Linked DNA regions of Ovis aries. The protein of the gene in region 1 interacts with the protein of each later gene in a biochemical or structural test. Links are inferred from orthologs where the notes say so. Each region holds a gene or a part of one and is shown on either strand. Other genes may lie near its edges.

Region 1 (4,112 bases):
CACGATGTTCTTCACCTGGCGCCGCAGTGACGAGGTCGACATGGCGGCGGGCGGGGGCCCCGCGGCGAGCGGAGCCGGGCGGGGCGGGCAGGCGGCGCGGCAGCGACGGGCGGCTCACCGCATCTGGAGGGTGGAGGGAGGGCCTTCAGAACCAGGCGCGGGGCCTGCAGCCGCCTGGCCCTCGAGGTGCAGGACGGGGTTCCTGCCACAGCCGGCGAGGCACCGCCTGCGTCACCCCACTGGCTCTCAGTTCCTCAATCATGCCCAGCACCTTCCTGCTCCGGTGGCAGAGCCTGCAGGGGGCCACGGGCCCTTGGGGCACACCCCAGCCAACACTTCCTAACCCGCACCTCCAGAACCTCAGTTTTCTGCTCTGTAAGATGGGTCCTCGATCCAGAGTCTAGACACAGGAAGGGAAGCCAGGGGTTGGGATGCGTGCACTGTCCCCGCGGGTGGGTCCTGAGACAGCCACCCCGCTCCTCCTCCTGTCCTCCGCTGGGCTCCACAGGAACCTCCAGCCCAACCCACCCCCACACCAGGGCTTGTCCTCGTGATTTCCTAAGCGGGTCTGACTTGGGCTGAGGCCGCCCCCAGAGCCCGTGGGGGCAGCAACCACGTAACTCTGGACGGCCGAGGCTTTTCCCGGCAGAAGAGCTAGCCCGGAAGAGCCACTCAGTAAATGGAGCAGGAAGGACAGGAAGCGGGGGTTGGGGGAAGGGGGCAGTGGGCAGGAGAGACCTCCAGAGCAGGTGGGGGCAGAAACAAGGGCACACAGGGAGGAGGCTGAGAAAGGGAGATGGCCGGGAGGGGGTCCGCCGGGGGGAGATAAGGAAGAGTGCAGCCCCCTGGCTGGGCCCTGGCGGCGTGCCTGACACTCAGGGAGCACGGGACACACGTGATCTCATCTAATACCGACACCAGGTTCTAACAGGAGGAGACGGGCCACAGAGCTAAAGCGCCCAGCCAAGGTCACACTGGGCAGGCGGCACAGGCTCCAAAACAGGTCCTTTAACTTAACCTGTGCTGAGGGGAGGGCGACGGAGAAGAAACAGAAGAGGGGGACGGGGATCTGCGAAGCCCTCTGCAGCCTCACCCAGGGCCACGCCTGCGCCTCTGCTCCGCTGCACACTCGCTGACGCCTCACAGGGAGGAAGCCAGGCCCGGGCCTCCCCGGGGGCAGCCGGGTCCCAGAGTAGGCTCTGACCATCGCCCACAGCCTCTCCTGTGGAGGCCTCCTACCACCTGAGTCCCTGCCCCGAACGCAGGGGAGCCAGGCACTCAGGGACGGCTGTGAATGGCTGGAGAGATGGCCAGGGCTAGAGACAGGCCCAGCCAGACACACGAACACACGACGCTTGTGTGCGACACAGAGCAGGGGCCTTTGAGAGGAAGGGAGAGAAAGAGGAGAGAGGCACAGAGAAACCTGGGCAGAGACACAGCTACAGATAAAGAAACGAGACCAGAGCGAGGCAGGGAGGCAAAGAGAGAAGACAGAGGCCCAGAGACAAACAGAGGCTAAGCTGAGGCTGAGAAATCAGACAAGGAAACGGGAAAGAACAACGAAACCTGTGTCCAAATTCCGGCCTCCCTGGGATTCAGTTTGCTCAACTGTGAAATAAAGCAAAGGATTTCCAGCTGCCAGGTTTGTTGATTAAATACAATGGGAACATAAAGTACTCAACTCCCCGACCCCCAGATAATAAGAGCTCAATAACACCGGCTGATTTTCATCAGCAGAAACAGAAACATTTTCGAAAGAAGATGTGCTATCTTAACACAGTGTGTTTCTATTAAAGGACGTTAGAAGAAAAACACCACAGCAAAGCTAAGACTTCATGGGTACGGCTAAGAAGGAAAAGGTTTTTCACAATTGGCTGACCCAAACAAAATTACTAGACCAAATACAAAACAAATGATATGACAAAATTCTCCAACAGTTACTCAGATATCAAACGATATCAAACCTTAACCGTGTGGGAGAGAAAATCTACAAGTACTAATGGGAACCAGAGCTCCCAGCAGCTAAGGTTAGGCTAGAGGCGAGGGGCAGCATCACCTCCGTTATCAGGCACGGCTGCCCTACTATTTTAAAGACTAGGGAACTGTCTGGTCAGCTTATAAATATTACAGGCTGGCACAAAGTGGGCCTCTGACTGCAGAGTCGGGCTCTTCACCCCTCACTCATGAACCTGGGAGGACGACAGACCCGCCGAGAGGGACTCGGGGTTGGAGGAGACGAGCACCAGGACAACCATGACACGGGAGGACGGCGGGGAGAGAGGCACAGACCGGAGACACTGGCATTAGTTCTGACCCTCCGACGCCCACACGTGACAGAAAAGCGCAAGACCGGGAAAGACACACGGGGACGAGCGCTCTGTGGAAACGCCGAGACACACACGGACACGAGCACCGGCGAGGCCCGGGGGGCCCGCGGGAGGCAGACGCGGGAGAGCCGGAGAGCCGCGGGCGGTCCAGGCCGGGCGGGCGCAGACACACGAAGGCCGCGGAGCTGCCAGAGCGCGCCTGCCCGCCCCTCGCTCCCCGCCCCCCGCCCGCGCTCACCTCGGGCCGCTCACGCCGCGCTCCGGGGGCTCATGGCAGGCAGCCCCCTGCCCCCGCTCGGCCTCGGTGTCACGGGGAGCGTGCCGGGCCTCGGGCGGCGGACGCGGAGCCGCGCTCGGGCACACGCGCGGACGCACGGAGGGCCGCACGTCGACGGCCCCGCCGCCCCGCCGCCCGGGAGGGGCGCGGAGAGCCGGGCGGGGGAGGGGAGCCGCCGAGCGGACGGGAAGCAACCGAAGAAGGCGACGGACCGGAAGCGGAAGTGACCCCGCGACCCACCCGGCCGTCGTCTGCGCAATCGCCACTTCCTAGCCCCCGCCCTCTCACGTGTCGTCATTTCCGGCGCGCGGGACCCGTGGCCTTTTGCCTTATTTCCGCCCGCCGCCGCGAGCCGACAGAGGGTGGGTACGCAGCAAGAGTCTGGTCGGGAACGCATCGTTTCCAGACCACCTCCGCGCGCAAGCTCCGGACCCCCGGGCCACGCGCCACCGCCGGCGGTGCCTTGGGCGACCTGAGCTCTTGGGGCCACCAGGCCAGCCGGCTGCCCGACCACCGCCCTCCCCGCTGTCTGCTGGGCCAGTTCACTGCCCCCTGCTCCCCGGGGCCACGCCCCGGCCCGTCCCAGCGCGGCAGGCCACGCAGGCGAACGTCACCTCGGCTGCGCCAAGGGCAGGGGCACCCAAGCCGGGGTTGACAGCCTGTAGACCTCCCAGAGCCAGGCCTCAGCCTGGGGCCCAAAGAACCCGAGACCTGGAGAGCAAAGGGTTCACACACACGGGACACGTAACAGCTCCATAAAGTAAAATACAACAAAATGTTTAATGAGCAAATTCGTCTTAGCAAATATGAAACTGCCACAGAGAGGAGGAGAGGGACAGGGGCCACGGGGTGGGGGGCAAGTCTGGGAGACTAGAGAGAATCGACTACGTAAGAAACCAGGAGGACACAGGGGCGAGGACCAGAGGCCAGGAGGACGGGAGCTGTGGTCCTGAGAGGGAAGGGGCAGGGTACCGGGCCGGACAACAAAATTCAAAAGAGTTTGGCCATAAAATATAAACACACTGTTTCTACGGTGGGGAAGGGTAAGAGAAAGGGGGTATCCGGGAGAAGACTGCTTCAGGGAGGGGCTGTCGGGATCCAACCCCTCCCTGCGGTCACGCCCTCCCCGCCCTTCCCTCTGTGTCTGTGGGTGCGTGTGTCTGTGTGGGTCTGTGTGCGCACTTCCCCAGTCCCCGCCCCGCCCCAACCCCAGCCCACCCCCACCCTTAATTGCTGCCATTCCAGTTGCTGCCGGCTGTCATTCGGCTGTCACTCCTCTGCCCATCGTCTTCAGAGGGGGAAAACGGGGGAGCAGGAGGGGGAGAAGCCCCCAGCCAGCTCCACCCCTGCCCTCCCCCGCCGCCTCTACCAGAAGTCCCGGCGGTGGTAAGAGTCGGGGTCACAGTATTTTGTGACGACCACTCTGTTGGCGAACTTGCGACCCGTCAGGCCCTGCATGGCTTTCTGGCAGTCAAACACAGAGGTAAACTCCACGAAGATCTGTAGGA
Region 2 (4,310 bases), on another chromosome or scaffold:
GAGGAGACAAAATAAGGCATTTTTATAGAACATGTACTTCAGGTAAGATTTTCAATCTTCCTGGAACATTATGGTAATCTTAGTTGTATGCCTATTAAAAAGAAAAAAACAATCCATTACCATAGAAACTAACAGGGCTAGTTAGTGCCTCCACAAATGGGGCAGTTATACCTGTTGGACCACTTAATTAAACTTACAAGTTCCTGTTTAACAGGGAAAGGCTAAAAACATCTATATCTGTTCTAAAGACTGATACACTTATGGAGTAGTGAAAGTCAAGATAAATTGAGTGCTCATGCACGTACACACACCCAGACACACCACACCACACACAACCAACGTGGTTAGTAAAAATTAGATGGCTGCTGGCTTTGTTTGAATCTCTTCTGATTACATTACTCTGTCCAGGATGCCTTCGATGTTCATTTTCACCTGTGCAAAGAATACTGGATTACTGCATTGTGTTAGGTTGGGCTTCCCAGTGGCTCAGGGTAAAGAACCTGCCTGCCAATACAGGAGACACTGGAGACAGAGAAGCCTGGTGGGCTACAGTCCATGGGGTCACAAAGAGTCAGACACGACTGAGCACACAGGTTAATGGGGAAGGAAGTCTTTTGTTTTGCTGCGCTGCATAAGGGAGCTCTAAAGCTCGTTGAGATTTATCACAAGCAATATTCTAGGGATGTCCCCTCTTGCCAGCATCTTTTGCAAGAAGAAGGTTTCAACTAGACATCAAAAATACAATCTCATTCATACAAAGGCACCGTGCCTTGAGTTCTTTTTAAACCTTAAACACCCTGGGTTCTAACACCAGGAAAGGCCCCTCCCCAACTCCTTAGAAGAAGTCAATCAACATAATTCAGATTTAATATGCCTACCCATCTCTTATCACACTCCATGCATTACTGACAACAAAATAAGCCTTTTAACAGAGGCCCAGCTGTCACTTACTTGCTGTGCGGCCTGTCACTTATTCCTCTTTCAGTTGAGAAGCAGCAATAGCATTTAATAAATTATGCTTGGGAGTATTCTGAGGACCTCATGTAATAGCCATGGTTCATGTTTTAAAATATTGACTTTTCTTCTACCTGGTCAAGTTCAACTGCTCAAGAGCAGAAGTCAAACTGTCTCCAGAGCAAAGACTTCTTAAGAGACAAACAGCCGTGTTAAGGTCTGTGGATACTAATTATATTTTCAGAAATCTTGAATTCTGAAAAGTGAGAGATTACAGAGTGGCTAAAATTATGCTCAAACAGACAGACATACGCATGCTCCAGCAGTATAAAATGCTCTTAAATGATTTTTTTAATCTACAAACAATGATATTGCAAGTGAACCATAAAACCCTCAGTACCCCTTTGGAACTGGATTTTAAAATATCACTCCCCACTCTAAATATACAATTGATGTTAACTTTCAAACTGCCTCCAGCTTTTTCTTTCTTTCTATTTTTTTATTGAAGGATAACTGCTTTACAGAATTTTGTTGTTTTCTGTCAAACCTGACTCCAGCTTTTAAGAAAAACTTCATTTCAGATTTGGGGCCTGGTATTAAGAATCTTATCACAACGAAGTAACAGCAAAACACAGACAAAGATGCTTATTGCTCCACGGAAAGCACAAAAGGAAAACTGATCTACTGTGCATCCTCCTCCTCCTCCTTTTCCAGGTATGGAGCAGCCAAAAGGAGGCAGCTATGACACACATTACTTGGCAATTCTATTTCAAGTCCAAATAATGGTAAGATGGGAAACTACAACTGTCCCTCACGGTGAATGTCTGGGAACCACGTCCAGTCCTAAATAGGAAGCTTAGCTCTGCCTTGACAGATGTCCTCTTGCAGCCCTGTGTCCCGGTTCTGCAATTTGTCATTAAGCTGTTCAGTTTAATGCTAATATGCAGAAATACGTTAGTACGCAGATGTACAGTAAATTCGTGTACATTACAAGTAGTATATAAAGCGGACAACATTCAGTCGTCGGCCGCCGGCCACACACACACACACCCTTCAAGTTCAAATCCTGCAAGGCATCCAAGCGCCCACTCACCCAGGAGAGGGAAGTGCAGGAGCGGCAAGCAGAGGTTACTCCAGACAGCAGCCAAAACAAACACTAGTTACAGAAGAAGGCAAACTTTGGGTCTGGGAGGCTGCAGAGACCCCAGAAACGGCCGGGGAGAGGAGGGAGTGTCCGTCTGTCTCAGCGGAGGAAGATGGGAGCGCACCCAGCACCGCTGAGCTGTGGAGGAGGCTGGTGTCCCCTGGGGAACAAGGGCGTCGCCGCCATTCTAGGCTGCGAAGCCACTCTCCGCGACCTGGCCGAGGCCTCCGGGTGCCTGTCGGCGGCCCTGTCGCCCCACCCCGCCCCCTTGTCCCTGCAGAAACGGTCCCCACAGACTCACAAGGGCAAGGGTGCGGGGACCTACCTGGTGCAGCGTCTCGGCTGGCAGCTGCGACGCTCGGAACAGGTCGGCGACCGGGCCAGCGGCTGCAGTGGTCGCGCCAGGGGCAGCCCTGGCGGCCTCAGGGGGGCCGGGACCCGGGCCCCCGCCTGAGGCGCCGGCGCAGCGCGCGAAGAGCTCAGAGTAGCACTGCTGCTCGCCCTCGCTCAGCAGCAGCGGCGGTCCAGAGCCGCAGAGCCCGCCCGCCGCCGCCTCCATGGAGCCTGAAAGGGGGGCAGGCGGAGCACCGTCCCCGGCTAAGGCGCCGCCGCCTTCACCACAGCCTCCGCTGCTCCGGCCTCGGCCTCGGCCGCCGCCGCCACCGCCCCCACGCCCCGCAGCTGCCGCGCGACCGCTTCCTCCCGGCGCGCGCCAGCCCCGCCCCCGGACTTGAATGTTGTGCCTCCGCCGCACGGCACATGGAGACAGGCGCGGCACGAACCTATCACGGCCTTGGATCGCACCATGGCCCCGCCCCCGCCCCGCCCCGCCCCACCGCGCTGGGCCAGGTAACTAACTCGGAGCGCAGCCTGCTCGGCGAATGGTCACCTGCGCCGCCCGCGCTGCAGAATCCAAAGGGCCAGAGCCACAGTCATTCCGCGTCCACTCTGCGCGAGAGAGGCGTCTTTGGCTCTTCCCACCTGGAGAATGGCGCTTTTCAGGGGGTGGGAAAGGCTGTGGCGATTTCTCCCTAGAACGCTGGAGCAAGTGTAGTGCTTACGTCACGCTGTGCCCTTCCCAGAAATGGACTAGGCACGGGATATGGACGAGGCATGGGTAATTAGGCTTCGCTTTTTCCATGACAGTCCTGAAAATCTGGAGGGCAGGAACAGGGTCCCAGTGACTCCTGTAAAGTTCAAGGTGTTCAAGGTGGCCACAGGGTTAAGCCACTTTCTCAGGCAAGACTCAAAACCTGGGGTTGAGCCTTAAAAAGGAATAAAATCGGTTAGTGTTCAATGCTTGAGTAATAGGAGTGAAAAAGGCCCTGAGAAGAATTTGCCCATGTATATGCATTAAGCCTGGCTGGGAAACACTAACCCAAGGGGAAAAAAATCAGTCCATGGTTTAGAGATATACCTTCCACCCGAAACAGTGCTTTAAAAGAAATATTAAAAACAAAACGGAGACTTCCCCAGTAGTCCAGTGGTTAAGATTCCAAGCTCCCAATGCAGTGGGTGAAAGGCCTGGGTTCCATCCCTGGTCTGGGAACTGGATCTCACATGCCACAACTAAGACCCAGCATAGCCAAATTAAAAAAAAAAAAAAGTCAGGCAATAGCACTAATGATAACAAATATGCTTTGGTATTTTGTTCAACTAAGATAAGGACCAAGCAAAGGAAGAGAGGAAAAGAAAAAAACATAAAGTCACAGGAATGGGCAAAGATAAAAAGAGAAACATAAGAAGAAAAAAATTATGTTAATTCATAAATGATGCCCAGAGTAATATTTCCTTTTTGGAATCTGGAAAAATGAAATAGAAAATGAGGATCCCCAAAATTACTCAGATTTCCTTATACCATTGTTTGCTTCAGACTTGCCAGGAGTGAGTTAAGACATAAGTAGGTTTGGAGAAGAGTACCAAAACGATAGGTAACTTAGGAGGAACAAAGACTGACTTAATTCAGGAATTTTCACTTCAAAAATCTCACCACCATTGTATTTTCCACAACTATAAAACCTTCTCAAGAAAACTGGAAGCCAAGAGATCATGTTTATTCTCTTCTCATTTTTCCCTTTATGGTCAGGCTTCCCTGAGAATGGCCCACCATTCTAACAAAGGTGAGAAAGGGACGTATTCTCCATGATAAATATCAAACCCCAATTTTCCCTGTGACTCCTGTAAAAAGAAATGTGAGATATAATAATCCCTA
Region 3 (3,527 bases), on another chromosome or scaffold:
AGGTCATCCATATGGCAAAAGCCACATAGGTTTTTTCCTCAAAAAGTTTTTCTTTTCTTTTTATGTAAAATCAACAACACATAATCATAATCTCTCAGGTTTTATTTTCAAATTCGTAGTTTTCTCCAAGTGTGAATTATCATAATAATTTAATATTAATAATACACATAATAATTTAATTCTTATAGATTTCATTTAAAATCAACACTCTATTAATAAAAATAAATTCACAAATCTAAGAGGGGAAAAACAAGATCAAATTTTTCCAATTTTCAGAAAACATGGTTGCCATACGTGTGATGAATGATGGGAAAAATGAGCTATAGCCCAAGGATATCATACAAGGCATTGAACATATTTATAGGTACAAATTAAACTACAAACAGTATACTGCTCTGTTTCTAGCCAGATACATTTTCTCCACTATTCCATACAAACTGAGTTTGTCATCTGACACAGCATTTGTTTCTGTTAACTGCATTAAGGTTTTAAGCTGTCTCACCTTTTGTAAAGTGGCCCTATCTGATGGCGGGATCATCTCAGGAGTAAGATTGTGAGGAGGATCAATGCCCTTTATTAACTTCTGATTGATTAAGTGAAAAGCCAAGGCAAATTGATCTTTTGAAAGCTTCCCACAGTTCTTTGTGTCACATAATGCCCTGCGCAAAGAAACAAAATGAACAGTATATAAATGCCACAACTAACATTCTAAAAATCCAGGGGAAAATGACTATGTAGCTTTAAAATAATCATCATTTGAATTAAAAAAGAGTCACACCAACTCATGGCTAGCCCAAAACTCACTAACATGTTAGAAGAGAGATATTAGCTATTAATAAAATGGTAAGAAAGAGAGACCATTCACCTTGGTGCTGAGCAGGGGGATCTATAATTTGGGTTTGCTCTATGCTTTCTTATTGATTTCCAGAATCACTACAGAGTAAAAGTTGTGGTGGGCCAATAGTCTCTGCTCCCAACATTTTACACATTAAAAGATGTTAAATAAAACCTAAAGTTTCGACAAATTTGGTTCGTTCATGGCATTACAATGATTATAAAACAAGCAAAACACCCTGTGTCAGCTTGTTTCTTGCAACTTTTGAAGTAGGAAGATATAAGGTCCCCAAATCAAAGAAAAACAACAGCTGCAAATGGAGATCACGTGTGGAAAGAAGGCAGCAATCTGGAAACCTTTACAAAATTACTTGAAGAGAAACAGCAATGTTTTATTCTATTTGCTTTTTCCTTTTTCTAAACCTCAGCTTTCTAAAGTTCTGATCTGAATGATTCACCGAAAACCAACGTGGCCTAACAAAAAGACTACAGACTATGGTGTCAAAGAAACCTTGAATTCCACTTTTTTACTTATTTCTTCTTATGAAGTTGGCCATAATTTTTAACCTCTCCAAGCCTAAGTTTCTTCATCTACAAAGTGGAGATAACATCCATCTTGCAAAGTTACTGTGAGAATTAAAACAAAGTACATAAGAAGTTTGGGCATAATGGGAAGCCCATGACAGCTGCCATTTATTCAGCATAGTGCCCAGCCTAGGATCTACTGTCCTTTGTTCTTTCCTATGTTCCTTTTTGCAACTATGTGGTACCATTTTTGATGTCTGCCCCTTGAAACCTCATGATAACTAACCTCAGTATAATGAGACACATTGGCAGCAGGCTCACTATAAAGCATTTTCATTATATATTATCTCATTTAATGTGAAATTCACTAAAGATGCTAAAGTTTGTCACTTTTAAGGACCAAGTGTGTAGTTCCCATGTAAAGATGTAAGTATACATATATTCTACAGAATTATACAATAATGCTTTCAAGATTCTGCTTTTTAATACTGTTTAAATTTCAGAATTTTGGATTCTCCTTTAAAAACTGAAGTTTAATAGCTGATATAAACCAATGCTGGATTTTAACATTCTAATAACTGACACTGTCAACCTCATAAAATTATAGGTAACCTATCTTCAAGCTTTTGTCCACTACTCAGAAGAAATCATCAAGAGGGAGGGGATATGTATAATTATGGCTGATTTGCGCAGTCCTATGGCAGAAACCAATACAATACTATAAAGCAATTCTCCAATTAAAAAATAAATTTATTAATAATAAAATCATCAGACAAAAGTTTCACTACAAAGTTCTAAAACAAAAACTGTCCTACTTACTAATGCCTAAAATATTAATAAGAATGTACAAAAGTAGAGCTGATACAGAACCATTATTTGTTTTTTAAATCAGCTTAAAGTCTTACCAAATATGGGCTAGTAAGGCAGAAGGTAAGCCTGTCTTCAGGAAGATTTCACGGACTTCCAATCCTGACACAAATCCATCCATATCTTTATCAGTTTTCAAGAAGATTTCATCATATTTAGCTTTTTCTGCAGGGGATACAATCCACTACAGGAAAAAAATACATATATATATATGTATTTTTGCCAAAATGAAACAAACTTTCAAGTGTCCCCTTTCAAGTCATGACAGTATCTGTCACAAATTCTCAGCAACTCTATCCCACTAACTATACCAACAGTGTGTCACTTCCATCACACCCCAACTGAAATGCTGTGATGAAGAGAAAATTACAGGAAAAAAATATAGGTTAGATATAGGGCCTATATTTACAGATGCCCATTTTATTTTGTTTTAATAATGAGTAAATTCAAGCACAGTTAACTCTTGACTTATGAATGACCATATTAATATATGTAACTGGGAGAGTTTGTAAAAAGACTCAGATAATTCCAAATCTCCATTTTTTTACAGTTTCATTCTGCATTCTTAACTGTAGCTGAACAGTTAAGAATCAGGTGGCTGGTTTGCATATTCTGTCATTATTTTCCTTCACTCAACCTAACAAGCAGCTGGCTACAGGAAAAAAAGTCCTTGGACAACACAAAATTGGATAATTTGACCCCCAAAGAATCAAGAGTTAACTTGACATTAAACTAACAAAACATCTAATAACTATGCCAGAGCAAGCATGCCAGATTAACACAGTGTATCTTTTATCTCCAACTTGAATTCCAGGTAGATCAAGGCAAAGCCAACAAAACATCCATATGACCTAAGTAAGGCCAAATATAGGAGAGGATTATCTGTCTTCTCTAGGACATCACATTAGACAAGTTCAACCAGAGGGAGCCCTGAAGTTTGATCCCTTTGATTGTTCCTTCTATCTTCATCAAGCGATCAGTTGTTAAATGCCATGCACTTTGTTTTTTTTTTTTAAGTCCTTTAACAATGATAAATCTATACCTGTCTTAACGGTGCTTTGGTAGGTAAAATGCCTACTGGTAGGAAGGAGTGGTAAGATTCCTTGGCTGATGCTGAAGAGGGGATCAACCGCATAGGGCCTGATATACTGACCGTTTTCCTCTTAGAAGGTGGCACCAAGGCTGGAGGCAAGGACATTGGCACAGGTTCTTTCTCCAGTGCGCAGTATACCAAAAACATGGCCTTCAAAACAGACGAACCAGAGTCATATATATTAAAACCACTTAACAACCACCACCCA

The links.
Region 2: the proteins of EPN1 (region 1) and REPS2 form a complex in vitro, tested with the Homo sapiens proteins (3 studies listed by BioGRID and IntAct, with this or other methods). The link is inferred for Ovis aries from reciprocal best matches to the Homo sapiens genes EPN1 and REPS2.
Region 3: the proteins of EPN1 (region 1) and EPS15 form a complex in vitro, tested with the Homo sapiens proteins (4 studies listed by BioGRID and IntAct, with this or other methods). The link is inferred for Ovis aries from reciprocal best matches to the Homo sapiens genes EPN1 and EPS15.

The regions. Positions count from the first base shown.
Region 1 is NC_056067.1:62,656,350-62,660,461, forward strand, and holds the start of EPN1 (epsin-1), read right to left. Parts: upstream 2,810-4,112; 5' UTR 2,566-2,809; intron 2,504-2,565; exon of another isoform or gene 351-2,503; intron 124-350; 5' UTR 43-123; coding exon 1-42. Other genes in the region: U2AF2 (splicing factor U2AF 65 kDa subunit), read right to left, coding at 3,970-4,104. UniProt on the Homo sapiens protein: Binds to membranes enriched in phosphatidylinositol 4,5-bisphosphate (PtdIns(4,5)P2). Modifies membrane curvature and facilitates the formation of clathrin-coated invaginations. Regulates receptor-mediated endocytosis.
Region 2 is NC_056080.1:15,177,213-15,181,522, reverse strand, and holds the start of REPS2 (ralBP1-associated Eps domain-containing protein 2), read right to left. Parts: upstream 2,810-4,310; 5' UTR 2,658-2,809; coding exon 2,424-2,657; intron 1-2,423. UniProt on the Homo sapiens protein: Involved in ligand-dependent receptor mediated endocytosis of the EGF and insulin receptors as part of the Ral signaling pathway. By controlling growth factor receptors endocytosis may regulate cell survival.
Region 3 is NC_056054.1:25,880,240-25,883,766, forward strand, and holds part of EPS15 (epidermal growth factor receptor substrate 15), read right to left. Parts: intron 3,470-3,527; coding exon 3,380-3,469; intron 2,411-3,379; coding exon 2,265-2,410; intron 660-2,264; coding exon 503-659; intron 1-502. UniProt on the Homo sapiens protein: Involved in cell growth regulation. May be involved in the regulation of mitogenic signals and control of cell proliferation. Involved in the internalization of ligand-inducible receptors of the receptor tyrosine kinase (RTK) type, in particular EGFR.